4 linked regions of the Alligator mississippiensis genome follow. The main gene of each other region encodes a partner of the protein of the gene in region 4 in a complex. Links are inferred from orthologs where the notes say so. Each region holds a gene or a part of one and is shown on either strand. Other genes may lie near its edges. The genes, in order: IQCG, TCTE1, DRC1 and DRC3.

What was found.
Region 1: DRC3 (region 4) and IQCG share a complex: the UniProt entries of both Homo sapiens proteins name them as parts of the nexin-dynein regulatory complex. The link is inferred for Alligator mississippiensis from reciprocal best matches to the Homo sapiens genes DRC3 and DRC9.
Region 2: DRC3 (region 4) and TCTE1 share a complex: the UniProt entries of both Homo sapiens proteins name them as parts of the nexin-dynein regulatory complex. The link is inferred for Alligator mississippiensis from reciprocal best matches to the Homo sapiens genes DRC3 and DRC5.
Region 3: DRC3 (region 4) and DRC1 share a complex: the UniProt entries of both Homo sapiens proteins name them as parts of the nexin-dynein regulatory complex. The link is inferred for Alligator mississippiensis from reciprocal best matches to the Homo sapiens genes DRC3 and DRC1.

What each region holds. Positions count from the first base shown.
Region 1 is NC_081830.1:85,493,553-85,500,640, reverse strand, and holds the start of IQCG (dynein regulatory complex protein 9), read right to left. Parts: upstream 3,005-7,088; 5' UTR 2,938-3,004; coding exon 2,903-2,937; intron 1-2,902. Other genes in the region: RPL35A (large ribosomal subunit protein eL33), read left to right, coding at 3,322-3,332. UniProt on the Homo sapiens protein: Component of the nexin-dynein regulatory complex (N-DRC), a key regulator of ciliary/flagellar motility which maintains the alignment and integrity of the distal axoneme and regulates microtubule sliding in motile axonemes.
Region 2 is NC_081824.1:169,864,300-169,871,649, forward strand, and holds the start of TCTE1 (dynein regulatory complex subunit 5), read right to left. Parts: upstream 3,017-7,350; 5' UTR 2,901-3,016; intron 2,849-2,900; exon of another isoform or gene 2,640-2,848; intron 2,516-2,639; exon of another isoform or gene 1,755-2,515; intron 1,283-1,754; exon of another isoform or gene 1,230-1,282; intron 531-1,229; exon of another isoform or gene 475-530; intron 255-474; exon of another isoform or gene 173-254; intron 1-172. UniProt on the Homo sapiens protein: Component of the nexin-dynein regulatory complex (N-DRC) a key regulator of ciliary/flagellar motility which maintains the alignment and integrity of the distal axoneme and regulates microtubule sliding in motile axonemes.
Region 3 is NC_081828.1:76,329,368-76,337,165, reverse strand, and holds the start of DRC1 (dynein regulatory complex protein 1), read right to left. Parts: upstream 3,012-7,798; 5' UTR 2,978-3,011; coding exon 2,829-2,977; intron 2,201-2,828; coding exon 2,113-2,200; intron 1,337-2,112; coding exon 1,224-1,336; intron 1-1,223. Other genes in the region: olfactory receptor 2F1, read right to left, coding at 4,838-5,782. UniProt on the Homo sapiens protein: Component of the nexin-dynein regulatory complex (N-DRC) a key regulator of ciliary/flagellar motility which maintains the alignment and integrity of the distal axoneme and regulates microtubule sliding in motile axonemes.
Region 4 is NC_081836.1:54,857,314-54,865,066, reverse strand, and holds the start of DRC3 (dynein regulatory complex subunit 3), read right to left. Parts: upstream 3,005-7,753; 5' UTR 2,921-3,004; exon of another isoform or gene 2,902-2,920; intron 2,545-2,901; 5' UTR 2,116-2,544; intron 1,522-2,115; 5' UTR 1,514-1,521; coding exon 1,354-1,513; intron 1-1,353. Other genes in the region: TOM1L2 (TOM1-like protein 2), read left to right, coding at 3,466-3,517. UniProt on the Homo sapiens protein: Component of the nexin-dynein regulatory complex (N-DRC) a key regulator of ciliary/flagellar motility which maintains the alignment and integrity of the distal axoneme and regulates microtubule sliding in motile axonemes.

The sequences.
Region 1 (7,088 bases), on a different chromosome or scaffold from region 4:
TAAGTAGTGATTGATTATAATAATGAATTACAATAACAGATGGTAGCAATAGGGATAGTAATAGTGATCATGATTGCGATAATAGATAACAATAATATTGGAAATAAGTCAAAATTGATTATAATAATTACAATAATGGATGGCAGCAATAAGGATAGTAACAGTGGTCATGATTACGATAATAGATCATTGATAATAATAATACTGGAAATAAGCTGGACTTTAGTATAATAATTACAATACTTGATGGTAGCAATATGGAAAGCAAGCGATCATGATTATAATAGATAATTGTTAATAATATATTGGAAATAAGTTGTAATTGATTGTAATAATTACAATAATGGATGCTAGCAAAAAGGATAGTAACAGTGATCACAATTATGATCATCACTAATAATAACAATATTGGAAATTAGAGCTGTGTGAAACAGAAGCGTTTCGTTTTGATCAGCGTTTCAACGTTTCGACAGAACAGTGTTTCATTTTGACTTTTGTTTCAAGTTGAAACGGCTGTTCCGTTTCATTCTGTCAAAACGTTTTGCCGTTTCAACCCTGTTTCGATGTTTCACCCATAGGATATAATGGGGAAGGTCGAAACAGACTATAACTTTGTCATTTCTGGCCAGATTTGGATGAAACTTGCAGAAATGGTAGCTGCTTCTGAGGGCATGATGCGTGCCAAGTTTCAAGGAGATAGGTGTAGGGGGTTTGGAGAAACTGCACGCCAAAATCTTGAGAGCAAAACGCACGCCACGTGTATGCGTTAAGACACAGTGGGGTCAAAGCTGCAGGGATGCTAGCCCCTGGTGAGGCAGCAAATCCTGCCATGTTTCAAGAAGATCAGTGCAGGGGTTCAGGGGGAACTGCACCCCAAATTCCTGAAAGCAAAACTCATGTCGTGTATGCGTTGAGCCACAGTGGAGTCAAAACTGCCGGATGGTAGCCCTTGGTGAGGCCACAAAGCCTGCCAAGTTTCAAGGTGATAGGTGCAGGGGTTTGGGGAGGGAACTGCACCTCAAGCTGCGGACAAGCAAAACTCGTGACACAGATGACCCTGTGTGTGTTAAGGTGCAGCGGGCTGAAAACTGCAGGGGTCGTGGCCCCTAGTGAGGCCACGAAGCCTGCCAGCTGTCAAGGAGATCGGTGCAGGGGGAGTCTGGCTTCTGGGGCCCTGCACCTCTGACTGCTGACAGGCAAAACTCATGACATGGGTGACCCTGTGTGTGTTAAGGCGCAGCGGGGTGAAAGCTGCAGGGATGATTCCCCATTATACCCTATGGCTGGATCTCCAAAACGGCTCTGAAGCTTTTCCGAACCGCTTCGGAAAGCCTAACGAAGTCAGCGCTCTGCAGCTTCAGCGTGAACTAAAAGATTCGTGTTCACAGAGGGGGTGGTTCAGGTGATCAGTCTGATCAATGAGCTAGATAAGGAGATAAATCTTATCTTCTTCCTGAAACTGGCTAATGGGCAACCATTACAAACATTCAAACTATTTCATTCAATATGACATCCCCAAGGGTGCCCTGGTGAACAGTTGTTCACCGAGCCCTAGATGTACTCCCCTTTGGGCAGAGCGCCCAAAAGGGACTGAAGGCAGGGGACTTAGTCCTATCAGTATTGAGGCCAGCCCATTGAATCGTACTACTGAGGCGAGCCCATTGAACCGTACGACTGAGGCCAACCCATTAAATTGTACTACTGAGGAATGAAACTGTATTTAGGTGTTTGGCTTCTCGGAATTCTAGGATTGTAAGTATATTTTGAAAATAACAGTATTGATTCAAATTTAACTTTTAGTTGTAATTGTAGTTGTTTTTGTAATACTAATTCTTACAGCATTGTTTGGGAAGGAAGTGCATTCGGAGCATTGTTTCTGATATATGTAATTATTGTGTTCTTAATGTTTGTGGTATTTCTAAGCTAAGCAGTGTTATATGCGTCGCAAAGAATTTTAAAATAAAATTGTGTTGTATGAATTAAGTGTGTAATCATTGTAAAATCGTGCCCCAGCCAGTGCATCAAAACGAATCAGTAAATTGTGTGGGATTTTCTCTATTCCATAACCCACTAGAGACAGGGGAAAACTAGGAGCAATGGTCACAAACTCCTGGGAGATCGATTCAGACTCGTTTCAGGCTCAACATTAGGAAAAACTACCTCACAACTAGGGTGTCCCGACTGCGACCATTACTCCTAGCACGGCACAAGGTTTCCCAGTCAGCAGCTGGGGTGCAGTTCCCCCGCACTGGTCTCCTCGACAGCCAGCAGGCGTCGTGTCCGCAGCAGGGGCCACCCTCCCTGCAGCTGTCGCCTGCCGCGGCTTAACACATACACACGACACAAGCTTGGCTCTCAAGAATTTGGGGTGCCGTTTCTCCGAACCCCCCGCACCGATCTTCTGGAAACGTGGCACGCATCACGCCCTCAGAAGGGACTACCACTTGTGCAAGTTTTATCCCAATCTGGCCAGAAACGACAAAGTTATAGGCTGTTTTGACCTTCCCCATTATCTCCTCTGGGCGAAACGGCATCGAAACGGCAACACGTTTCGTTTCCGTTTCGAGGCTGTTTCGACCATATCTGTTCCGTTTCGATTTTGCTGTTTCGACCTCGAAACAACGCCAGTGGTGAAACCAGTGGAAACGGATGGTACTAAGGACAAGACTGGAGGGCAGCAGCCAGGACCGTGGCGGTAATGGCGATGACGACAGCAACTGCCACTAACTGACAGCGTCCGACCAGATGCTAATCATGAATGGCAGCCGTTAGTGGTTGTCATGGACACCGGCATCACTGTCGCGCTGCGGACGACCGCGGCAGTGACACGGTTGCTGACGACAAGCCCCCCCCCGAGGACCCCCCCGCACAAGGAGGCGGCAATCACCACAGCGACACTCACGCGGCGGCGGCCGGCGGCAGCGGCCCGGTCTCCATGGCGACGCCGACGCTCCGGGGTCCTTCTCAGAGGCTGCCCCGGTGCCGCCTGCTCTGCGCGCGGCCCCGTCAGGCGCGACGCGGACGCCTCAGGGGCCCTGCGCGCGGCTATCCCGGCGTGCCGCGCGCCGCGGCCTCCTCTTTCGCCGCCATCTTGGAGCGGAGCGGCAGGGTGAGGGGAGCGCGGCGGCGCGGCGCGGGCCGCGGGCGCGGAGCGAGGGGTGCCGGGGGGCGGCGGGCGAGCCGGGCGGGCCGCGGGCTGCGGGGGGCCGGGGGCGGGGGCCGCGGGATGGCGCCGATGCGCGGCGGATGGTGCGGAGCCGGCTCCGCGGTGCTCACACCACGTCTCTGGTTGCAGGCCGCCGGGACCAGCGCCGCGCCGCCATGTCCGGGAGGTGAGAGCCCTGCCCGAGCCGCGCGGCCCGGAGCCACTCGCGGGGCCCAGGCGGCTGCACCGCGCCGGTTACCGGGGGGGGAACCAACGGGGTGTTCACTGAAATAAGATATTTTGGTTTAAAATTTAATCACTTTTTTATGGCTAAGATGCTTTCATTTGCTATAAAGATCGTTTTCGTTGAAGATCTGTAAAAGCTCCAAAATATCGTGGAATAGGAATTATTATTATTCATAATTATTGTGATATCTAATTATAAACTCCTAGAGATGATGCGGGCACGTCTAAACTCCCAGTGCAGCTCGGGTGACTTTAATCTGTAGACGAGCCTCGAGATTGGGCCTCAGATACAGTCCGCAGCCTGTCCTGACGCATTTCCTGAGCGTGTAAAGATGTCGCACGAGGACACGGGGTGTTTCTGAGTTTTAATAACTTTTGTCTGTAGAGGAGCCCCATAAAATTGGGCCCCGTTATAGTCCCCGGCCTGTCCTGACGTATTTATCAAACCTGTAAAAAGGTTACACGAGTGTTTCTAAAGTCCGGGTGCGATTTCAATAACTTTCAGCTCTGGGAGCTGCGTAAGAGCAACGTAGGATTCACGGATGCGCTTGTCTTTGTTGAGCTGCGTCCTGTTTCGTTCTGCCCGTTTTTCCAACCTGTCCAGATCCGCCTGGATCTGTTTCTTACCCTCTGGTGCGTTCATTTTGCTTCATAATTTGGCTATGAACTTGGACAGGGTGCTCTCCACGCCCTCGTCCCAGTCACCGATGAAGACGTGAACAGCACCGGTGCAAGGACCAAGCCTTGCAGGACCCCGCTGCCCACATCTTTCCAGGTCGATACCGACCCGTCCACCACCACTGTCTGGGTGCGACCCCATAAGCCAATCTGTCACCCACCTGACCGTGCAATTATCTACATCGCTGCCACTCAGTTTATTTACCAGAACAGAACGAGATACCGTATCAAAGGCCTTCCTAAAGTCTAGGTAGATGACATCTACCTCAGCTCCTGCGTCTATGCATTTTGTGACCTGGTCATAAAAAGAAACCAGGTTAATTGGGCAGTGAACCGGTGCTGGTTTCCTTTCAGCATTATTCCCCTGCTGGGCTCCCACAAATGTGGTCCTTAATGTTATTTTTTCCAGAGTTTTCCCAAGGATGGAGGTGAGACGAACTGGCCTAGTTTCCCTGTTCCTCCTTCCTCCCCTTCTTGAAAATAGGGACCACATTGCCCTTTTCCAGTCCTCTGGGACGTGACCGGAGCACCACAAGTGCTCGAACAGCCGTGCCAGCAGCTCTGCCATGACACAGGCCAATTCCCTCATCACCCTTGAGTGAAAATCATCTGGGCCCATTGATTTGAACACATCCAGCCCCTCTAAGTGCCCCTTCACTAAGTCTGCGCTAACAGTAGGTGGTCTGGCGTCCCTCCTGTGTCTGTCTATGATCCAGTGATTGGGCCCATAGTATAGGCCCCAGCCTGTTGTGATGCATTATAAAGCTTCTGCAAAAGTTACATGAATATACAGGTGTTTATAAAGTTCTTGTGCAACTTTAAACTTGAATAACTTTGTCTGTTATAGCAAACTGTAAATAGCAATTGAAACCATAATTAAGTTTTTAGCGTGGTGTAAGCATGTCGTTTTGGGTTGCTTCTGTCGTGCACATCCAAAGTTATTCATGTTTATAAAGTTACACAAGGACTTTATATAAACACCCTGTGTATTTGTGCAACCTTTTTAGAAGTTTTATAAATAGGTCACAACAAGCCGTGGCCTATATTAGGGGCCCAATCTTATGGGGTTCCAAGAGGTTTCTTTATCTATAGATTAGTAAAGATTAAAGAAAACCACTCTACTCAGTGCGACTCAGCGCTCAGTCCAGAAGATCCCATTAAACGTCTCTGTGATGCTTCATTTCAGTTCTCAGACTGTGAATTTGTCTCTCCAGAGTTCACAGGCAGACACGGTTCTTTGGGAAGATGCAATATCTTTTATTAGGAGTGTACCACTAATGGGAATATTTGGTCAATACCAAAGGCCATATCAGCTGATACCGCTCTGAGTGCTGATATGCAGCCTGGCAGCGTCCAGCTGGTAAGTCTGTTGGTGGAGGGGGTGTAATTCAAAGCCCCCATGGTGAGGGAGGGAATGGGACAGGCATTGCCCAGCCAGGGCAGGACACAGGACAGAGCTGTGGGTGGCCCAGCAGAGGATGGGTGGCTCCCTGCTGCTGGTGTGCACCCTCGGGGGAGGCAGGGTGGGCATGTGCTCCCTGGATTTGTGCACAGAGCAAGGGCGGGCTGCCTGCTTTGGGGCTGGGGCCTGTGTTGGCCTCTTGGTGGGAGTGCTGGGCCAGGGCTGCTCTTGAGGTGGGTAGTGGCAGTTCTGGGAGTGGGGGTCTATGGTGAATTTTTGGGGTGGCCATAGTCGTCGTGTCCCCCGTCCCCCCATGCCCAGGAAGAGGCTGGTACAGCCCCTGAGCCCACAACAGGCAGCTCGCCCTCACCCCGTGCACAAATCCAGTGGGGGCCTCATACCCCGCTTTCCTCCCCCAGGGTGTGTGCAGCAGTGGGGAGCTGCCCATCCTCCCATGCCCCCCTGTAGAGCCACCCACAGCTCTGTCCCATGCTTCAACCCAGCTGGGTATCACCTACCCCAGTCTCTCTCTCACTATGGGGGCCTCAATCTGCCCCCCACACAGACTTACCAGCAGGACATTGCTCTCCAAGCTGCGGGGCTGCATTCCTGGCTGTGTGCATGGTGCAGCTGTGCACATGCATGTGGAATTTATCAATGATGTTATTGGCTACACCAGCCAAAAAAAGCTGATTGCCAATAATGTCAATTTTCCTTTTATCGGTGCTGATCCAATACAGACAGATATATCCGCGCGCCACTACTGATTACTCACCCATCAGCCCTGTTGTCTCTCTGCTAGTTCGGGTATGCACAGTCAAGCCCTTACCTCTCCCTAAAAATGGAAAGTTTCAAGAAGTTAAATGAATAAAGGATATCAAACAACAACAGTGCACTTCTTGTAGAAATCAGTGATTAAACTGAGGCTTCCTGGCCAGTGATTTAAATCATTATTTAAATCCATTTGATTTAAATCAGATCTACCCTGTTAGTTACAGATTTAAATCTTGAACAAACTGTCTTGTGAAAATACTGGTGACATTTTAAATCTGTTGTCCAAAAGGATTTACCTTATAATATTACCCATGCTAAGAAAGCTTTATACAATATTTGTTCCGATACAATTAAGCACAGTTCTAGGACTCTTAGCTATTGGTTTCAAGTGTCCTGAATTATGCTGGAGTCCTGCACTGTCCACATGGAACAGGCTTGCATTTCCCCATAGAAACTGCAAAAAATCATTTCAGTACAGCACTTTTTTGTTACATCTCTTATTACAGAGTTGGTTACTGTAGCAAAGATCCAAAATCAATTAATCTGCATTATCATGTATGCAATGAAGTGATAGAATCTATTTTCTAGACATTTGAAATGTGTGTGTATAAAGAACTTTAAAAAAAAGCAAATTGCTTCTTAACGTTATCATCTTTTTAGTGATAATCATTGGAGGAAAAAAGGAGGTTTCTAATGGAGAGAAGTAGAGCTGTTTATAAATGTCTCCTGTTGTGGAAGCTTCCTTATTCACCCCTAATTGCGAATGCTAGTATATTTACTTCCTTGTGAATAAAGCACTATTTCTTGATCCCAGCATGCATGTAGTCCCTTCAGAAATAGCTT
Region 2 (7,350 bases), on a different chromosome or scaffold from region 4:
GAACCACCGTTCTCCCATATCATCAAACTCATACCTAAAAGGGGGCTTTGGAGTAGTGAGATTCATGGGCTACACTTTGGGAACCGCTGTTCTAGTTCTTCAGGTCCAGAGTAAATAAGGTATGCTCAAACATATAGTTCACCTGCTTCTGTTTTTTATCCAAAACCCATCTAGGTCAATGGAAAGAATCCTACTGAAGTCTGTGGGCTTTGAATTGGACCCCTGATGGCGATAATTTAGTCCAAGAAACAGAAGTAAGCAAAAGTCCCTGTCTACAGTAGAGCTTGCATATTTAAAGTATATTTGAAAAATAGTGTTTCAAAACTAATTTTTAGCCTAACAGTTTGTATCCCCATCTGGGCTCTGTCTACCCAGAATTTTAGGAAGTTCTTCTAGCATTCCTCTAGATGGGTGGAAACACTGGCTGAACTGCAGGTCTCATTACTAACACACTATATTTGTGTCTGCCCTCAGCTTGGTTAGATACAATGGCTAAAGGTCCTGATCGCTGTCAAGCATTCTTATCACAGGTAAGAACTCTTATCAATTCTTACCAATTGGATTCTTATCAATTCTGACACCCATTTTTATTGATGTTACAGTTGCATTAGGAAGTCTGTTGTAGAGTCTTAAAAAGAAAAGCCTACAAGAGTGGTTCTTGGGTAAAGAAAAAAAATACACACCGGTCAAGGAAACTGTGCTAACTACAGCCAGATTGGAAAAACAGATGTTAGGTCCAAAAAACTGGGTCAAACTAGGTATGCCAACTGTTCATGAATGTGTTTGTTGCTGTCAACAGTACAATTTAAACTGTGCCAGGGACAATATGACCTCCTGGAACTTCTTTCACTTAAGGTGCTGTGATTCACTGTCATCATATTGGACACTGCTAGTAGGGGTCACTGCTGTAATATTATTTCATAAACACAAAAGTAGCTAAGGAATGACCACCAACCAACACTTGCCAATCAGCACTGCATGGTTACAGTTCAATAGATTCTGCATCCGTATCTGGGCTAAGGCCACCTAATGGGCCAGCAACTGTGGGAAAGAGACATTCAACATAGGCCTATACAGCAACATAGAGAGAAATAAGGAAAAAGCTACTTCCAAGCCTCACCAAAGTCCTGAATTAGGAGTAGCTTTCTCCTCTCTGATATCTAGAAGCATGGGGAGTTAGGTCACTGTTCAGTAATTACTAAATTAAACAATATTTCATCCTTCTCTAGCTTCTTCCATCTAAAGATCTCAATGCACTTTCCAAGAAATAACTCATTGTAAGGTAAGCAAAATATCTTTGTCTTCCAGTCAGGAAAAGTGAGGTCCAGAGAGGGAAGGGACACACAGGAAATCTATCATGATGCTGTGAACAGACCATAGATCTAAATCCCAAGGCTGTGCTTGAACAGCCAGAACATGCTTCCTTCATCTCCTCACTAATTGCTTTCTGGTGTTCCTTTCCAGACTGAGAGTGTCAGGATACTTAAAGGCGAAAGGCTCTTGATTTAATCTCAAACCCACATACTTTGTGTTTCTCACGCAAAACCCCCATTAACACTACCAGCACCTGAAGCAGACACAAATACTGTTTTGGAAGTTAGCAGTGTACTCAACCTAATAAAATAAAAAAATAAAAAACAACCCCAAAACAAAACAAAGTAAGGCCCTGGACTTAAATTTTGACAAGTAAACAAGGCAGAACTGATCTTCCAATCTAAAAGCATTCTGTCTACTTGGATACAACAGTAACTCACCAAGTGGCGCTGGTCAGTAGCACGGATGTCATTATCTGTGTTAATAGCCTGAAGCCAGGTAAAAGGCCAGGTAGATTTTCACCTTATAGACTAACCAAAGTAGATAAATGGATAGATCTATCTAGATAGACTTGTGATCTCTATATATCACTACTTTAGTTAGTCTTTAAGGTGAAACTACCCTGCAACTCTACCCTGCTACCTGCTGGTCATCACAGGAGGCCAATGCCTTACTACACAAAGCAAACGAAAAAGCAAGCAAACATAACTTGACAAAATCGAGCCTAAAGCATCATAGAATGAGCTTCTGTCACAACTTCTGAGGACCACTGTTTAAGAGTAATGAATTTGAGGTAACGTGATGCAGCATGTTAGTATATTGACCATAGCATCATCTGAAAAAGCAATGACATCATGGTAATAGAGACCTCACGATAGCACAGCCTCTGCTAGTTAAATACTTGCTGGAAGCTGGGAGGAGAGCACCAGGTCTTTCTTGCTTAACCAGGCGACTCAGGTGAAGTTATTTGCCAACCAGCTGGCAAGGCGCGCAACAAGAGTCCCCATCCAGAAGCTTTTACTAGCCCAAACCCGCATGTTTCCCGATGAGAAAATAACCAGTGCAGAGCAGAGGGGCCTCTGGAGGAGAGGAGAGAAGGGAAGACATTTCTGTAAAGCGGGTGAGGGGAAGTGGGGGAGCAGGAGGGCTTTGAGCCGCGAGCTCCCCGGATCCACCCAGACTGGCTGCCTGGACCTCTAGGGCCTGCTGCGTCCCTGGCTCTAGGTCCCAGGCAGCAAATCAGAGCTGCAAATCCCTGCCCTAGAAAGCCCTGGGGCCGCTCCACAGCCCAGAGCTGTGTTTGGCTGTGGGTGCTGCCGGCTCACCCCTTCGGTCCGCAGGGGGAGGCTGGCTCCAGAGCCCGCTTCAGGCAGGTGTCTGTGAGGGGGGCACAGACGGAAGCACCCCTCCGCCGCACCCTGAGCCTCTCCCGCCAGGCACTTCGGGCCGTGGGAAGCGCGCCAGGGCCAGGACCACAGCCGGCCGGCCGGGTGCTTTGGGACTGGGAGATCACAGCCAGGAAAGCACGCGGCAGCCCCGCTCCCCCCCTCCCCATTCCGGAGTCACTCCGGAGCCGCCCCGCTCACCCGGCGCCGCCTGCCCGGCCCGGCCGCGGTTGCCAGGCAACAGCGGGTTGCTGGGGCGGGGCGGGGCGGGGCGGGACCGCCCCTTCGCGCGGGGCAGCTCTGGCGGGCCTGGACTTTGCATCAGCACCAGCGCCGCCACGGCTTAGCGAGAGACCAGGCAGGGAGCAGAAAGCAGAGCAGTAGGTCTGGAGGGGAGGGGGAAGAAGCAGAAAGCGGAGCAACCATTCAGGCAGGAAGCAGAGGGCAAGGAGCAGAGCAGGGAGGAACAGGGTGGCCATTGTAAAGGACAGTCCAGGTGTTCTCTGTTGGTACGAAACCGGACGCCTTCATGTCCTCTCTTTTTCTCTTGAAGAGAGAGAGCTCCTCTTGACGGGGAGCTCCTCGGTCTGATGGGTAGTGGGATTGGCCAGCAGCAGCACAGGAATTTTTCTCTTGAAGAGAAAAATAGAGGACATAAAGCCATCTGGTTTCATAACAATACAGGACAGAGTACAGAAAACGGGAATGTCCTCTGTGACGGCCACCCTAGCCAGGAGGTGCGGGGGCAAGAAGCAGAAAGCAGAGCAAGAAATCAGAAAAGGAGCAGAAAGCAGAGTAACAGATCAGGCCGGGAGCACAGGGCAAGGAGCAGGAAGCAGAGCAGCAGATCAAGTAGGGAGTGCAGGGAAAGATGCAATAAACAGAGCAAGAGGTTGGGCGGGGAGCAGAAAGCAGAGCAGCAGATTCAGGGAAGGGCGGGTGGGGAAAGAAGCAGAAAGCAGAGCAACCAGTTAGGCAGGGAGCATGGGGTGGGGAGAAGACAGAGCAGCAGGTAGGACAGAAAGCAGAGCAGCAGGTCAGACAGGAAGGGTAGGAGCAAGAAGCAGAAAGCAGCAACATTGGGCAGGGAGCACAAGAAAGAAGAAAGCAGAGCAAGAAATCAGGAAGGAAGCACAGGGCAGGGAGCTGAGCAGCAGGCAGGTTCCTGGGGAGCAGTGGAAGGGCTTCAGCTTGCAGTATTTGAAGTAGGCCTTTGCCCCTGTCTCACTTTATGCACAGAAGAGGCAGGTGTTGAAGTCAGGAAAGCCTGCCAGATACATGCTCGTGCAGATCCGCAGTGGTTTGTGGGATTAGGGTGGAATGTAGGCTGGTCTACGGGGAGCCCTTGCCAAAGGTGTCCCGCCACTTGGTGGGGATGTGAGGGTGAGATGGTGGATGGTTTGGAGCAGGGGTTCCCAACATTTGTGCCCGAGGGCACATTCAAATCTAAAAGAAAAAGCAGTGCGCGCCAATATGAATATTAAAGTTTAAAATTTAGATCAATCCGATCATCTCATCCATTACTTAAAATTGCATTAGATCCAGAACTTCAAAATGCAACTTCCCTTTACTTAGTTTTTTTTTTTGTTTTTGGAAGTATTATCCATGGTGCCAGTGGCCACCACATTGGATACTGCTGGTTTGGAGCATGAGGGTGTGAAGTTGGTTGTGATGGTCTGCAGAAGCAGACTGGTTTTATATCCCCCAGCCTGCTGAGCTGGGGTGGTGTGAATTTCCTGAAACTGGTTCTTTCTAAAAACCTCACACTTTCTGCAAGTTGCTTTTAAATGACATGAGGAAAACAACAACTTAATAATCATATTGAGGGGTTTTTTTTTGCTTCTCCCCGCTCTGCTGCTAATGTTTAGAGGAGACTTTGGAGCAGGTCCAAGAGCACTGCCAAGCATCCTTGGGTTTCCTTTTTCATCCTTCTCTGTTCCCTGCTCAATTTTGGTTCTGCTGTTAGTGATAAAAACCTGCTTGCAGAACATTGGGAAAAGGCTGAACCCTCAACACCACTGAAATTTCCATAGCATGTTGTGTGTTATCATATTCAAAGAAAACAACCAGGAAAATGTTACTTTCACCTCTGTTCTTGTCCCTGTAGACCCTGAAATTTCAGATGGAAATGTGGCTTTTTCAAACTGATGTTCTTTTTCAATGCTGGTGTGGACAGAGCAGAGCAATACATATACCAGGCTAGTAGATAGGTTATCTGCAGGAGGAAGCATAATCATGTTGCCAACTCCCCTGATTATGTTGTAAATCCCAAGATAGTTGGTGTTTTCTGATAGTGCCAGCTACTTTCATCGTTGAAAAAAAGGGGGTTGTCCATCATGGTTGTGGAGGTTAGATGGCAAATGTGACCTTAACAGCCCAGGAAACCAGAAGGTTAAAAAAAAGACCTTAAAAAGAATCTCAAATTGCATGATTTTTAGCTAATCTCATGATTTTTTTTAAAGGCCTGACTTTTGGGTTTTGAATGCTTGGGCTGGCAATACTGCAATAGCAATTTACTCAGGCTTTATATATGGCTATGCTTACACACAGTGAATAATCCCTTACACTACACACAGTTCCAGTGAAACTAATGGGACTGTTTCAGAGGCAAGCTCCTGTTCAGCAGGAGTGTGCCTTATTTTGACACCCTTAAAGTACTTTACAGAAATTGGTCTGAAGCCTACAGATTCTGGAACACATTTTCTGGGCTAGGAGGTACTTGGGTGACAAGGATAAAGGCAGCAGAGAAGTCTGGTAAGTACTTTCGTTGACACTGAGCTCAGTGGAGTTGTTCCTGATTCACACCAGTGCTAACTGAAGTCAATGGTGCTAGTGTAAGTAAGGGCTGTGGAACAGGGCTTATTAACTAAGTAATCCTCACAAAATCACCATGCCTAAAGCCTGTTCTTGTGTGATACTGATCATTCATTGATTCATCCATTCAATGATCATTCATTACCAGTCATGGGGATAGATGTCATAGCAAGAGGGATCAGTAGATGCCACAAGACATTGCCCACCAGAGCAGAGTAGTTGGAAGATACAGGTCACATTTGGGGCTCAATCTCTTTGACAGCTTCCCCTTTAAGCAAAAAGGCAGCATAAGTAACAGTCTGTAAAAAGGAGCCAGTGCATAGTAACACAATCTACTTTCTCTGATTTGGAACCAGGGAGGACTGACTTTTGCAGAAGGAGCAAGAGAGGGAAATAAAACATAGTTTCTCCACCCTCTCTTTTTTCTACAGATGGGTGGCAGGGGACTCCCCAAGCTACTTTCTACCACAGCACAGGGTCACCAGATAGGAAAGATGGAAAAGCCCTGAGACAGATATAGCTTTGCCATAGCAGCAAGCCAAGTGTCTGTCTACTGCCATTTGGAGGATTTTGATTCTTTGAACAAAAATCAAAGTATCTGGAGGATATAAAACCTAATAGGAGAAGGGGATTATTTGAGGGATTGAGAAATATCTCAAACTGTAATGAGATGAAATTGGGGAAAGGGGCACTTAAAATGTGTATTGGGGAAAATGTTTCTTCCACGATGCTTCCCAAATACTTGAGTAGTCTCTTGGGGCGTGTCAAACTACACAGGTAATACACTGTAGGCAGAGCTCCACGTATCATGAAATTATGCAGCTCTATGCTCTTTTTGACCTGGCTGCATAGTTGTGCTGTAATGTCCATGCTTCCATTTAAACAATTGGCTTCTAGCCCCTCTGATTGCCAAAATCCTACAGATTGTGACACTAATGTAAACAACGTAGTGGTGTCTCCCTACATTTGCACAGCACATAAAACAGTGTCTTTGAGCAAGGGATGCACTGGCTCATTTAGCTCAGGTATGTGTTAACTCTGAAAAATAACAACAGCAAATTACATGCCAGTATTGATTATTTAGATACTGGTTGTTCTTGCAGAAACATCTCATTAATGCATGTTCTCAATACTGTGAGTGGCAGTGGTGGACACTGACCCCAAATCCAGCCTTATTAATGCAGAGCAAAAGCCTGGTTCACTATGAATGGGGTAGAGAGAAAAAGTGATTCATCCCTTTCCCAGCACCAAGACCCTCAGTCTTATCCTCTTCATAGGTTAAAAAGGAAAGCAGTTCTCCATCTGACTGCTAACTCCTCCCTGTTCCCTACCCCTCCAGCCTCTATGATTCATTGTCAGTGCAAATCTCTGGGCATATTGGCATTTGGGGGTAGAATACAATCAGTTGAACTTAACTGATATGAAATCTTATTTCCAACTAATACCTCTGGATCTACGATAACATGGATCCAGTGTCTTGTTCAGGTGGTGGGGCCATGATTATAAGGAAACAATTGCAGCACAGCTCTTGAGACGAGCTAGGAAGAGGGGAGTAGTAGATTAGGCTTCTCCATCTTTAATTTCTTAGCATTACTCTAAGTGTGTTTGTGTGCACCAAATAATTGCTTGTTGCAAGGAAGTGGTTTTGATAAGGGCAGAACACAGAACAGAAGGGTAAAGGGGAGACAGTGCTGTGAAACTCTGAGAAGGGAACATATCTAGTTTACCCAAATGAGGCTTGAGCGCACAGTTGCTTGTGCCTAATAGTGATGCAGTACTAATAGTTCAGGCTGCTTTAGCAAGCCACAAACCTCTGCTCTGGCCCTGCAATGCAGTG
Region 3 (7,798 bases), on a different chromosome or scaffold from region 4:
AGTGTAGCACTGCCGAGCCTATAGACATGCTGCAGGTTTTTCCTCCCAAGGTGGAGAACCTTGCATTTTTCAGTGTTAAACACCATCAGGTTCTCGTCCACTCATTTACTGAGCCTGTCAAGGTCAGCCTGGATTACCCCCGTCCTCAGGTGTGCATGCTTTACCCCAAAGTTTGGTATCATTGGCGAACTTGGCCAGTCCGCTTCTGACTCCAATGTCCACATCATTAATGAAGAGGTTGAACAAAATAGGTCCAAGGACAGAGCCTTGAGGGACCCCACCGGTCACAGGGTACCATGACGATTGACTTCCATCAACCACCACCCTCTGGGTCTGACCATAGAGTCAATTCCCTAGCCAGCGGATCATGGTAGACCCGAGGCTGCAGTTGGCCAGTTTTGCCAAAAGGTGATCATGGGATACCAGATCAAAGGCTTTTTTAAAGTCGAGATATATGACATCAATCTCGTCCCCCTTGTCCAGGTGATAGGTCACCTGGTCATAAAAGGAAATGATACTGGTCAAGCACGACCTACCCGCAACAAACCCGTGCTGGCTGTCCCTCAGGGTGTTGCCATCGGCCAGTCCATTAAAAATGGCCTCCTTGATGATTTTTTCTAAGACCTTCCCCAGGATAGAGGTCAGGCTGATGGGCCTTGTAGTTTGCCGGATCCATTTTCCTCACTTTTTTGAAGATAGGCACTACACTGGCTTCCTTCCAATCATCGGGCACTTCACCAGCGCGCCAGAAGCTCTTGAAGATCTGTGCCAGAGGCTGAGCTATGATGCTAGCCAGCTCCTTGAGTACTCTGGGGTGTAAATTGTCAGGGCCGGCTGACCTGAAGGTATCCAGCCTCTCAAGCTGTTCCTTCACAAGGTCAGCATTGATGGTCATTCCACTAATCAGAATAACCTATTCTATGGCAATTTTGCTATCTACTAAGGCTTCCTATTTCACAGCTCCTGCAGCTTTTCCCCCCATGCCCCACACTAGGGATGCTCATTTTAATTTTCACCAGCCGGCCAGGACCAGCCTCCAAAATCTGGGACTGTCCCAGGCAAACCGGGGTCATTCTACTTTTAGGTCAATTAAGGGCATTTTTCCAATGCCTGGGAGTCTCCAACATAGTTCCCACTGATCAGAGACCGGGTTGCCTTGCTCTGAGATGTCCGTGTCAGGGAATGCCAAAGCCAACACCTGTCATACCTACACAAACTCTCACCTCTGCCGCTTCAGCTCAGCCTCCTCAGTCCTCCTCTGTGTCTCCCTGGCATCGGCAGCCACCTGGATGTTCGTTACTAGCTGCATGCCATCAAGGAGCAGCTTTGCCAGCCTCTGCAAGGACAGGAAAGGGACGTAACAACCATGAGGCCAAATGGACTGAATTACATGCTTTGGAAGGCTCCATGGCCAGCACTTCCACATCTGCCTGCCCTACAGGCTGGTTCCTATGCTTATATTGAGGTGCTTAAATAAAAGTATGAATCTGGGATGTCACCTGGCAGGGATTCACACACCCAACCATAGTTTATCATCATGGCATCACACTGGTTTATTTTCAGGAAAAGACTGAACACACCCAAACCACATGCAGCTCTTGCAGTACAGCTCCACTCTCAGCTCTCTCTTGCAGGCTCTAGCTTCACCATTCCTTTGCTGTGAGGTCAGGACACAGCGTGGTCTGATCTGTACTTGAAAGCTCAAGATATTGCATGTTGGCTCCCTGTTTGCACAGCTGGAAACAGGAGGAAGTCAAGGAAGTTCAGGAAGTCAAGTAGGTTAGAAAATATCAGATGTTTTAGAACAGAAGTCAGCAATCTATAGCCTTCAGGGAAGATCCAGACTGCAAAGAGGCTTGGTCTGGCCCACGGATATCTTCTGTAGCACAGAAGCTTGTTACAATGAAATTCCCTATAAAGTATTTCAAGAATCAGTCTCTGGTGGTCATAGCAAGTACCTGTGTGCAACCGTGCTCCTTCAGAACATATCCACTGGCTGACCCTGAGCTGTCAGGCTATGTTAACAGGACTGCAAAGCCACATGTACATGGAGCAATGGTCCTTAATGGACTTGTCAACCCCATTTCCCTGGCCGCAAAGCCTACTCCTAACCTGTCTGCTCTCTTCAATCTGCTTATGGCTCCTGCTCTGCTCCTCTTCTTCAGCCTTCTTTGCATCTGGGTCTTCTCCCAGGGCCTCCCTGGTGGGGGGTAGAGACATAAGCTTTAATAACACATCATCTCCTTGTCCCTGCCAGATCTCTTATTGAGTCACCTTGCCTCCTGTAAGCCCATGAATCCACAAGATTGAAACATCTCAGTATGTGGGTGGGAGACCAACCCAAAGGGGGTCTTGGGGGGGGGGGGGTTACAGAATACACTCGTGTCTGGTTGGAGTCTCCAACCAAGGCAGCCCGCGTGGATTGTTCTGCGGACGGCTCCCCAGCTTGTCCGCAGCGACACCTGCTCCTTCGACCCCATGCAGGAAAGAAGGTTGGTCTTGTGCAGGCCGGTCTGCTGGGACACCCGCGCTGCCTGTTTTCAGGACTGCTGATCTGAAAGACTGTCAGCACTCTCACAACACTCCCACCCCTGGGCCAAGGCCCGCCCAGCCTGGACCACTGCCATCCAGCATGGACTGGGGCCCCTTTGCCTTCTGGCACTGGGTCTTGGGGGCCCAAGGCAGTAGAGGGGGGGAGGGGGCAGCGCAGTCGGGGAGCCCTGGCATCAGCCCCCCGCCCATGGCACTGGCGGGTGCTGCGGCGGGAGGGGCCAGGTCTCGGCGGGGGGGGCGGGGCTCGTTCCCCGGATGGTGCCCCCCGCCCGCACCGGCGCTTGGCCTCCTGCCGGGCCGCGATGCGGAGGCGCCGTGCCGCGACCCGCTCCTCGGCATCCCCGGCACCCACGGACGGGGCGCGCCTCGACGGCTTCGCGACCTGCTGCGGCTCAGCCTCGGCCGATGCCTCGGCCCGGCTCATGGCCGCCGCCCTGCGCGCCCGTTGCCAGGCAACCGCGGCGCTGCGCAACGGCGCACGCGCAGGACCCGGCGCGCGGGGTAGTGGGTGTCCGAACAGCCCCGCCCCCGCCCCGCGCCTCCTGCTGGGTTGCCGCGGCCTCTTCCTCCCGCCTCCCGAGGACACCTCGGGAACCCGGCTCTGAGATCTGTGGATCCAGCCTCCGCGTGCCCCGACCTCCTGCCCTTGCCCCTGCTGTGGCCACCATGCCCCTGCCCCGCTCCCCACAGCTGCCTGGGACATGTAGCCCCGCACCCCGCTGTGATTCTTGCTGCCTCTCCACGTGGAGCATGACGCCTTTTTCATTCGCCCCTCGTGTCACTTCTGTGCACGCGCCCTTGCTGGGGATCTTCGGGCCACGAGGGCAGAGAGACCCTGTAGGTGTGTCGATGCTGTTTCACCCAAGTAGGAAACTAGACTCAGACATGCTCTAGGCCCTGCTCAGGCCATATTCTCCTTCCGTCCTCCCCTCTCTTCCCTTTTCTCTCCCCACACATTGCCTGGGGTCCCAGGGGCCTCCGCACTGTTCTTATGCCATCAGGGCCTTCCCTAGGGGGGGCAAATCTTGGTGACCGCCCTGGGCGATATGGAGCCAAGCTGGCTTTGCATCCGGCCCCCCTCCCACCACTACCGCCTCCAGGCCCTGCACCCACAGTTGTCTCTGCATGCCATCCATCTCCCTTTCATCCAACAGACCCTGCTCCTGAAAGCCCCTTGTCCTGTTCTCTCTGTTGTCCGCTGTCTCCTCCTCCAGCCCCTGGCCCTTTGCTGGTGACACAAAAGGGAGCAGCGGCTGTGGAGCTGGGAAAAATGCATAAACCCAGATTCTGCGTCATCTGCACCCAGTGCCAGGGCAGGGTGCAGGGGATGCAAAGGGAGCACCCGCCTCAGTGCAGAGCCCGGGGGACAGGGGATTCACCCATGCAGCACTGAGTTGGCACCTAGCTCCCAGCCGTGCTCCCTGCAGCTGGCATTCATCAGGGAAGGGGTTTTCAACCTTTTTTAGTCTAAGTACCCACGGTGGCCGGATGCCAAGTAGGGGGACAGGAGGGGGGCAGCGCACGGCCGAACACCAGAGGGTAGAGGGGGAGTACGCAGCTGGACACGGAGCATGGAGGTGGGGACACTGTGTAGGCGGGCAGGGACAGAGTACCACCACCACCCCCCAGGAGCAGGGCCAGGGCAGGGCGGGGAAGCTCATTAGGCTGGGGTGAGGGCGGTGGTGCCCCTCTGCAGTGTGGGGAAGCTCACCAGGCTGGTGTGTAGCAGTGGTGGCCAACACATGCGAGCTTCCCCACCCCACAGAGGGACATCACTGTCCTCACTCCTGGGAGGCGGCGGTGCTCCGTCCCCAGCCACCCATGCATACCCCCTAGGACCGGTCTAAGTACCCCCAGGGGTACGCATACCCCCAGTTGACAATCCCTGGGTTAGAGCACGCAACTGAGGAAATGGGTGACCAGATCTGTTAGAAAATATGAAAAGCCATATAATTACCTGCAGTAAATAAAAGGAGACCAAGACAGGTGAGGAGGGTTTTGTAAAAGGATAATATATATTCTGGTGTGTTTCTCAGAGTTTACAAAAAGAGCTTGTAGAGAAGCAACACTTAATTGCAATATAATGATATTTTACACTTTTCCTTTCAATTCTATGGACACTCAGTTTAGTTCTGGACAGACAGTTCCACAATTGCATCTGTGTGTAAATGGGCCTATTTATTAATGATAATCATTCTCCAGTGTCATATTCCATGAATGTCATCTTCCCTTTGTCTTCCTTGATGACTATAGAGGAAAAATATCTAGAAGGAGACAGAAATATCTATCTTTTTTCAGAAGACAGCCCACTTCCCATGGCTTTGGCTAGGGCCTCCTTCACTTCCTTATTCCTTAGGCTGTATATGACAGGATTCAGCATGGGAGTGACCACAGCATAGAATAATGAAAACATCTTGTCTTGATTGGGTGACACACTGGCCCGGGGCCTCATGTAGGCAAAGATGGCTGTCCCATAGCACAGCATCACAACAGTGATGTGGGAGGTACAAGTGGAGAAGGTCTTGTACCTGCCCTCTGAGGAGCAAATACGCAGGATGGATGAAATGATGTAGATGTAGGACAGGATGATGAAGGAGCAGGGGATGATGAGGATCAGGACACTGGCCATCATGAGAATGATCTCGTTAACATAGGTGTTAGAGCAGGCTATCTTGATGAGTGCCACAGCTTCACAGGCAAAGTGGTTGATGATATTGAAGCCACAGAAGGGCAGCCGCATGGTAAAGGTGGTTTGCACCAAGGAGTTGAGAAAGCCACTGGCCCATGAAGCCACTGCCAGCTGGATACAAACCCTCCTGCTCATGGTGACAGTGTAATGGAGGGGGTTGCAAATGGCCACATAGCGATCATATGCCATAACAGCCAGGAGGATAAACTCAATGCTCCCTAGTGACAGGGAGACATAGAGTTGGGCTGTGCACCTGCTGAAAGAGATGGCTTTGTGCTGGGCCAGGAAGTGGACCAGCATCTGGGGGACCACACTGGATGTGTAGCAGATATCCAAGAAGGACAGGTTTCCAAGGAAGAAGTACATGGGAGTATCAAGACATGGGTCTATCCGGATGGTAACAATGATAACAATGTTTCCCACAAGAGTGATGACATACATACCTAAAAGGAGTGCAAAAAGCCAGAGCTGAGTGCCCCGATGGCTGGAGAGGCCCAGGATGATAAACTCAGTCACAGAAGTTTGGTTTTCTGACTCCATCTTATTGGTATGGTTTAACCTGTGAGTGCAGGGATATGGTCAATGATGTCATGGTTTTGAATAAACTGTCATAAGCTACTGAACTAGGACCATGAGAACAGACCCAAACCCTGTCAATGTCAGACTCTCATGTGGGAGCAGACTTTTCTTTGTCCAGTAAAAAATGATGATTCAATGACATTGAAACAAGTTACAAATTCATGTTCGCTTCTCAGAATTAAAAAAAATATTTACTATTGTATTTTTAAATTCAAAACATTGTTTTTATTTTCAAATTTCATTCAGCTTTACCTGAAAAAAAATAATGAAGAATGCACTTGAAACTAAAATATAGTTTTTCAGGGGATCAATGAAACATCTCACTTAATCTGTATATAATTTATTCCAGTGTTATGATTCAGCAATATATAATATTTTAACGTAATACATTTTTTTACTAGTGTGTGGAATTGTATTCACATACCTCTATTATTGATTTAATCTAAAAAATGATATACAGAAGTCAATAAGACTCAGAAAATGATCATTGAGGGTGTGTCTACACGAGATGCTTAACTGTGCAGTAGCATAATTTACTGTGAAGTAAGCAAGCATGTGCATGTTTACTATGTAGTAAACCTCCCTAATACGGAGTAAATTTGCTACCTGCAAATGCAAGTCACAAATTTACTCAAGATTAGTAACAGCATAGTAGCATTCATGTAGACACCTGACTGGGAGCAAATGTACTCCCAGCCAGCTGTCCACCAGGGGGTGGCAGATTGCTCCCTGACCCCAGATGCTGCCTACTGCTGGGGCAGGCTCTGCCATAGGAGCCTGGGAGGGGACTATGCTATGCCCTCATTACCTGGCAGCAGGGTGCTCCAAGCCCTCCTGCTCCAAGGTGGTGATCAGGAAGCAGGGGCCTAGAAGAACTTTATCTCCCAGTGCCAACTACGCAACCATGGGGCTGGTGTTGGGAGATCTCCAATGCAGAGCTGGTGCTGGGAGCTCCCTGCTGGTGGGGGCTGGGAAGGCTGTTTGCTGCCCTGCTCCACGCTCACGGAGCTAGGCATGGAACAAGCCCCCCAGCCTGGTCCCCAGCTCCATACTCACACAGCTGGGCAGTGAACAAACTCCCCAGCCTCTGCCCAGTGTGCAGAGCAGGAGCTGGGAACTGTCCTGGTCAGGGGCAGGTCCCAGCCCCATGCCCCAACTGGGTGCACAGGGCTTGGAATTTGTTGCAGGGATGGGTTAGGTCCCAGCCCCCTGCCCCCATCTTGGGGCAGCTAGTAGCAAGCTAGCTGCTAGCTGCCCCACTGGTGGATCAAGGCAGGGGGCTGGGACCTAACCCTCCCCTGCAGCTCTTTCCAAGTCCCCTGCCCCTGATCAGGGAGCCAGGGCCAGGAGCTGCCTGCTGGTGAGGCAGGGGGATATTGTTCCTACTCCAGAAGTCTGCAGCCCCCTCCAGGGGCAGGGTGTAATGGAGGGTGTAACATCCCAATCCAGGCCAAGGCTGGGTGCTCCCTCGCAGTCCTGGGTGCTCCCTCTCCTGGCTGGGTGCTCCCTTGCAGTCCTTGCACCAGCACCCAGGGAGAGCTGAGAGCTCTCCTGGTGACGGCAATGGCTTATTGCAGGGCTGCATCAAATTTGGTCCTAAAAGCAGCAAACCTGCTGCCTAGTCCTGCCCCAGAGCATTTCATGTGAAGACATTTACTCCTGACTAAACTGAGCCCAGATCAAATGCATGTGTAAATGTGCCCTGAGTGAAATTTAAGGTTGTATGTTAGATATTATTGGGCATGTCTACATATGGTCATTTAATGCAGATTAGGCCAATTTAAGCTGCATTAGGGGTGCATGTCTACATGTGTGTGCCTTTAATGCTATGTGAGCCTAAATTTGATACCTGCCCAAACCAAGTATCAAATTTAAGCAGGATTAGTTAATGCAGATTAACACATTTGTAGACATGTTACTCCACATTAACACAGGGAATTTAGTCTTGGTCTGCACAGCCACTCAGGGGCGGGTCGG
Region 4 (7,753 bases):
GGACTCCAGTCAAGAGGGGGTTTACAGGAATTCACTACCAGGAGGGCCTTTGACCTTCACTTTGCTTTCCAACTAAGAGTGTGGCTGGGAGGAGGCAGCACTTTCTTCTGAAATTGCAGGTTGTTGCAGGGGACTAGCTGGCTTTGAATTGCTGCCCATTACGTTACAAAGTTACTCCATATTCTATAAATCCTTTCCCACTGTTCAGTTTATGCAGCTGTAGATGGAGAATAGGCCTGGGACCACTATAGGAATTAGAACTCAGGTTTTCTGCAGTTTATAATCTCCTGTTTGGAGTGCCGTCAGCTGTCACTGCATTTGCCTTTTTTTGAAAAAAAACCTACAGACCCAGGCACAGGCTGAAAGGATTATAACACAATGTTGGCACCATGTGGCATAGGAGACTCTTGGGTTCAACTGTCCAGTGGGCATCAGCTTAGAAGACAGGAGTGGAAACATAGAAGAAGAAAACCCCACAGCCATAGGCACTCGTCACAGACAAACAGGGCATGAGTTTTGCATGCTAAGCTTGCAATTGCATGGGCAAAATGTGCGTACAGTTGCGCATCACTTCCAAACAAATGCATGCATAAGTCAGTTCTGTGAGTGCCAATGAGCAGACTCGTTATCTGCTCACACAGTTATCTCACTAGCACACAATCACTACAATAGAAGGAGCAAATTAAAGATGCAGATTTGCACCTGCTTTCCTAAAAGAAAACAGGATCCTAATGGGATTGAAAGGCTGATCTGACAGCTCCAAAGACTCACATCCGATATCCATAACAGCAGGACAAACTGCTTCCATGTCACCCCTACCAATATACTGCAGACTGAACTGGGAGGTCACAAGCATGGGCAAGAGGGTAGTTCAGCTTCCTCTGCCCAATAACGAGCTTAGTGATCTAGTCGGGCCTTTCAACAAAGTTGGCAAATTGACCTGCTGTACTGCTGGCATCTTCTTTTAAGGTAGATACTTGCCCACTCAGAACTGGACAGAAATAGGGAGTCAGGACTCATCTGAAAATGAAAATTTGTTGCCATCACACTTTTGGATCAGACTGGGTTTTAGTGCAGTGGGGCCAAACTTGCACGTGGCCACAAGGTGCCACTGCTCCATAACTGTCAAACAAAAAAGTAATAATTAACAATGACATGAAGAGCTGCCAGGATCTGCAGCCTCTTACCAGGCAGCAAAGCCTTTTAACTCTCTCTGTTTGAAATCTTTTAGATGGCTAGGGCTAAAAATGTAAGTTAGAGTCAGTGCAACCAGTCTGAGCTTTACCATGATCATATCATTGACAATTAAAGCATTGTACTATTAACTTGTCCTAGAAAAAATCTGATACTTACTCCTAAAATCAAGCTGTAGTTCTGTGACATCCTTAAAATCAATGCCTTCCCTTTTGGCAAGCTGCCCTGCTTCTTCTTGAGGACCTTGCTCCTCAACAGCCTTTTGAAGCATCTCTTGATCGATCACATTTGGCTCAATGGTATCGTATATCCGGTTCATTTTCAGGCCTTTGAGAGAAGAGCAAACAATACTCATTACCCAGCTACTGTCTTCAGTGTTTACTGAACTGCATGTGACGTGCAAAGAAACAGTAGCAGAGTGGAGGACCCACAGGGTCTGATCCTGCACTGCTGAAGTCAAAGAGAGAGTTGCCTTTACCAAAAGATATGATGTTAACAAGTGCAAGTCAGGGCCAGCGCAGGGTGAAGTGCACAGGCAAGATACCACGTGCAGAACCCGTGTCAAGCTTAACTTGAACCAGATGACACCAAAGGCAGAGCGTTACAGCTCCCCACGGCCCTCCAAGCAGCCAAACAACCCTCCTCAACCCCCAGCCACGACCCCACAGGCCTCTCCTCCCTGCCTCCCACCCACCACCAGCCACCTTCTCCACCTGTAACGCAGCAGTGCACTGGCTTTTCCACGTAGCCTGTCACACAACCACTCGCCTGCCCACCCCGACCACGCAGCCGCTCTCAAGGGAACCAGTGACACTTAAGCAGCTTCTTAAATTTCTGGAGGCAATAAAATGCTCTGAACATGGGTGAAATGCAGATTGGATTGATCCTGCACCCCTGAAATCAACGGCAGCAAAATCAGACCTATTGAGATCAGCTCGGGAGCTCCTTCCCTCTTCAGGCCCGCCCGCTGGAAGCACCGCAAGATCTTCCTGTTTGGGCAAGCGCTTGGCGAGCTGAGATGCTGTTTGTGGGGGGAGGGTCTCCCCTTTAGGCTGATGCTTTAGTTCCCTGTTGCGTTGTTGTCTCGGTGTTCCCCTGTGGCATCAGCTATTCTGCTCTCTGAACGCCAGGTTAACGAAGAAAAAACAATCCGGCTCCTCTCCAGCCCCAGGGCACCTGCCCTACGCCCCCGGGTGTATTCGTGCTCCGCGCACAAGGACTAAAGGCTGACATCACACGGGGTCTTCATGTCTCGCTTTCATGTCACGGCTTCCCTGGGACCGTTCTGCGGTCGGACGCTCCGTGCTGCTCTCACGCTGCGCGACAGCTGCTCCCGCGGGGCCTCGGTTTCTAGCCAGAAGGACAAATTACATGAACATTGTTCTTTGATTACACGTCACGAGGAGAAACAAGGAGCTCGTCTCTCGCTGGAGTGCAGCGTTTTGGAGAAAGCTGCAAATAAATCAGTCGATCCATAGGTCTGCCCAGCCCGCCCAGCCCCCACTGCCCCCCCAGTACCCTGCCCTGCCCCCAGTACCCTGCCCCCAAGACCCTGCCCTCCCCCCAGTACCCTGCCCTGCCCCCCCAATACCCTGCCCCCCAATACCTTGTCCTCCTCCCAGTACCCTGCCCCTAATACCCTGCCCCCCAATACCTTGCCCTCCTCCCAGTACCCTGCCCCCAATACCCTGCCCTACCCCCCAGTACCCTGTCCCCCTCCCCTCACTGGGGCTCGCTGCTAAGGAAGCCTGCACGGTTGCTAAGCCAAGTCACGTGACGCCGGGCTGAGGGCGGGGCCTCCAGGCTCCCTCGTCACGTGCCGGTCCGCGCCCGCCAATCGCGGCTGGCCTCGGTGGGGAAGACAGGAGGGAGGGAAAAGGGGTGTGAAGCTCCGCCGCCAATCAGACCGCGAGGAAACCAAGTCGACCAATCAGAGTGGGCAGCGCGCCTGGTGGGCGGATTTTAAAGTGATTGGTGTGGCTGCCACCCAATAGAATCGGGGGAATGGGAGAGGTGCTGTCCATTGGCGAGGGGCGGCAGGAGCTCCCGCCTCCCCTTTGCGTCAGTCGAAAACGAAGGAGTCGCGCAGGGAGAGGGGCGGGGCTCTCTGATTGGCACGCTCTTCAGCCAACCCAGCGGGGCGAGCCTGCGGCATGGGCGGGGCCACGGGCGGTGCCGGCGGCTCGGATTGGGCGGCGCGGATGCCGCTCGGCGAGGGGCGGGGTCGGGGTTGCGGGCCGGGTCGGGCCGGCTGTTTGTTGTCATCCCAAGATGGAGTTTCTGCTGGGGAACCCGTTCAGCACCCCGGTGGGGCAGAGCCTGGGTGAGCGCGCCGCGCCGCGCCGGGGGGCAGGGGCCGCGCCGCGCCGCGCTGTCCCCGCGCCCGGCCGCATCGGGCCCTCGGGCCGCGCTGCGTGTGGGGGCGCCGTGGGTCGGGGTAGAGCGGGGGGGAGGGGCGCGAGCCAGCGCGTCGACCTGTGTGCGCGCGTGCATGTGTGCGGGCCTGTGCACACGAGTGTGCCACTGTGTGCGTGTCCGTGTCTCTGTCTGTGCACACTTGCATCTGTGGCTGTGTGTGTCTGTGTGCGTATGTGCATGTGTTTCTGTGCACACCTGCATCTGTGCCTGTGTCTGCACACGTGCAGGTGTGTAGGCGTGCCTGTGCGTGTGTGTGCATCTGACCTTGTTGTCTGTGCGTGTGTGTGCGCATCCGTGCGTGTATCAGTCTGTGTCTGTGGCGTGTGCCGCGAAGCAGCCGTGGTTGCGGTGAGCAGTGGACGCGGGGTGCAGCGCGCCGGCAGGCAAACGTCGGTGCGGTTTCATGGACGGGAGAGGGGAGCCCGCGCCCGCGCTGCGCCTCTTCTCTTTTGCTCCGAGCCGGGCCGCGCCGCGCGGAAGCAGGCGGGCGGGCGGGGGCCTTTCCGCCGGGCCGCGTGGGTATTGCGGAGGGCTAGCGCCGGCCCAGGCCCAGAGCGTCAGTGACGGCGGTGAAGCGCGCCTCCGGACGCGGGAGTGCCGGGTCACGTGCCAGCCGGGCGTGTGGTGTGTGGAAGTCGTTCCCACTTGGCTGTCAGCGCGGGGTTGATATGGCCAGCGATCATTTTCAGGCGCCGCGTCACAGAAATCGCCGCGTCTGTCACTGATTGAAAACCTCGGTGGCAGTGGACTGTAGGAGAGGGCGTGGGCTGCCGGACCCGGGACTGAGATACCTTCTCCCTAAACATCGTCCCTGCAGGGCTGGGCAAAGACACGTGGCCAGGGCACGATGGAGAAGCTCGCATGGGCACAGAAGTGTGTGACTTTTATGTGAACAAATGCTGCCCTGTTCCTCCTGGACCGATTCACAGCTGTAGGTCTCGTTAGCGAGCAGGGAGCACTATCACCATGTCACAGGTGGGGAAACTGAGGCGCGTGTGCCTAGGGTCACATGGCACAAGGTGCTGCTCAGTGAACGTAATGGTGAACAGGGGTTGCCAGCGTCCCCTCCAGGCTGTCAAATGACAACCAGGTGGTAGCCGTCCCTTGTAGATGCGTGTCCACCGGATTGTGCTGCCCCAGGACCTTGCTGGTTGAATCCCAGCACAGGACTGACTTGAAGATTTACCCTGAAACCTGGCGCAGAACGTGGCTGCGGACACACTTCATTGTGCTTTTGCCCAGCGACACGGTACCGTGTGCTCCTCGATCACGCTGGCGTCTGGTTCATTGCTCGATGCAGCCCAGACCCTTGGAGCTGAAGCTCCAAAGGGCTTCACCCCCGTGGCTCTCGCTGCCCCTGCCTTGCCCTGTGTTGTGCCGTGCAGCTGAGCGCAGCTACAACAGGGGAGCTTATCACCCCTTTTGCCCAGGGTTGGTGGCAAGGCATTTGGCAACGGGCCCCAGACTCTGCATGGGCATCTACTCATGACCTTCAAGAGCCTAACGGCATTGACCTTCAGAGAACAAACCCCGGCTTGTCTGTTTGCCCAGGCTGTTCTGAAGAGCATGGACCCAGTGGGTGGAGGGTCCCCGCTGTTGAGGCTGCAAAATGCTTTAGCACTGATGCATCTCTTCAGGCTCACGCGAGATCCTGCATGGGGAACTAGGCTTCTGTGATGGGTTCCCAGTGGAAATTGGGGGCAGAGTAGCACTGAGCAGAGAATAGGAAGAGCCTGGGAAAATGCACAGAGAGACGAGTCCTTTGTTCCCCTAGTGTCTGGAAGAGTCTGGCCTGGTGAGGACACGGCAGTTTCCAGCAGCAAGAGTCTGCCTGAGGGTCCACAGTCATCTCTGTAAATCACATTTTTATGGTTGCTTGCTCGAGGAAGCCATCTTTAAAGTGCGGCAGCTCAAAGGTTACTAAAACAAACATCCTTCCCACGTGTTACAGAGAGCGCTGGAGCTTATTCAGACCCATTGGATCACAGCGGGCTGAAGTACCGCCGACCTGTTAGCTCAGACTCGGGGTTGTTTGCACGTCATTGAACTTGCACCTGGGAAACTGGATAGCTGCTTTGAGTTCCTAGTTCTCTTGTGCGGCTGCTGCAGGGGAAGGTTTCCATCCAAATCAGGCCCTGCTACATTGAGTTTATAAATCCTTACAGTGCAAAGGATTGATGCCAGGCAGTGATCTGTAAAATGGGTCCCTTGGAGGTAGAACAAACAGTGAATGTGCATATTCCTCTTCTGGGAAAATGCATGCTCTGCTTAAATCATCGCAGTCTGAGGAAGCTTGGCTGTGACCCAAAGGCCTCAGGCTGCCAAGTCCAGGATAAGAACTAAGTGGCGTGATATAACCTACAACTTTCTCCCTAATGCTAACATCTTTTAGGAGGGAGGGGAGTTCCGGATCCAAGTCTCCAAAATTAATCGGGCATTGACAGAAATCAGCTGGCTTTTGTTTCTTTAGTAGCTGTCTCTCCAAAGGTTGGGTGCCTTTAAGGCCGGTGTCCGGGCCAAAATCACATGGCTTTGGCGACCTGTGAGTACGGATTGCAGGACTGGACCCTGGCGTCGGAGCCAGGTTGGATGAAAACTGCTGTGATTTGCAAAGGTGTATTCTTAAGGAAGCCACAAAAGCAGCGTTTCAGCAGAGGATACAGGGACACTTTATTGAAGTGATGGTGAAACCAGACAACCTTCCCATTGATTTTATCCAGGCACTTGTAGTTTCCATTTCAAGGCAGTTCAATCGATGCTAAATGTGATGCAGAGAGAATCTTGCTAGGGCTTTTTTTCGTAAAATGAAAAATTAGTGCCAGCTCTCTGACCCTTAATATCTTTTGGTTTCCTTTTCTGCATGGACAGCTCTTCAGGGCTTCCTGTAGATAGCTTCTAATGTATGTTTGATGAGTAAATGCACTAATAACTGTAAATGCAAGGAGAGGAGGCAATATTATGGCAGACATGCATTTTAAGGACCTAAAGAGACTAAACCTCATGTTCCACTGTCCAAAAGTCTCTAAATTTCTTTCCAAGTTAACTGGTGCAAACCCAAGAAAAACATACTTTTTAGAGGACTGACTTTCCCCAGGACAACACTGAGTGTTTAAACCGTCGCCGGGGAACCACTAAGCAAATGAGGACTGCAAACTTGCCTCAAGCTCTTTCAGCTCGAATGGGCTGTTCTGCTAGAAGAATCTTCCACACGTTTGGTTGTAACCAAAAATTTTCCAGCAGGAAGGCTGGTTCTTACACAGAACCACTGAAGTGCCTTGTACTCTTTGGAGGGTGGGTTGATCTGAATTGCAAGGCTGGAATAATTATTCTTACTGTCAGCATTTCAAATACAGGTGGGGTAATTTCGTGCAGCAAAATGAGAAGTTACCGACTAGCCCACAAAGAGTTAGGCAGGGAAACTGCTCTCTCTATAGGTATGGGAAATACACTGACATGGACTCGCCCGCTAGGTAGATGGTCCATACCTTGCCTTCCAGCGTTCATCTGCGTTCATGCCGGTTGAGCAAGCCTCAGTCTGATAAAGTGCTTTGAGTTTTATAAGATTATTTGGATCTGGCTTTCACTTCCTGAGAATGGATTATGCTAGAAAGAAAAATCTCCCTGCCATATGAAACGGGATATCCTGGCTTTGAAAGGAGCAAATAAATATGAGTCATAAATCTGCTAACTTGGGGAAACCACATGCATGTGTGAAGTTGGATAATTAGTATAATGCCATTTAATACTAGGTTCCTAAGACTGGATTTATTTCATAGGCACAAAAGCAGATTGTAGTTCAGGAAGGTATTAGACCCCGTATTTTTGAGTACTGCAATTTTATCTTGTGGCAGCACAGTGCACTTAAGTATATATTCGATTGGGTTCAAAATATAAATCTGTATGTGCCGGGTTGCAAGCAGAGGACAGCTGGTTCCCAGTATGCTGCTGCCCTCGTCGTTGACTCTGCAGATTTTGAAGGCATATATTTTGAGCACGCTAAATAATTAAAGGGCACACAAGGTGGGCTTTTTTTAACTGCTTCATCCTAAGCAATTTGCTCACGGTGCTTCTCCGTTCTTCCTCTGCGCGCTTGGAGCTGTGTGGCTGTTTCTTTGTGGAGCGCCGACTGAAGGCAAATTTC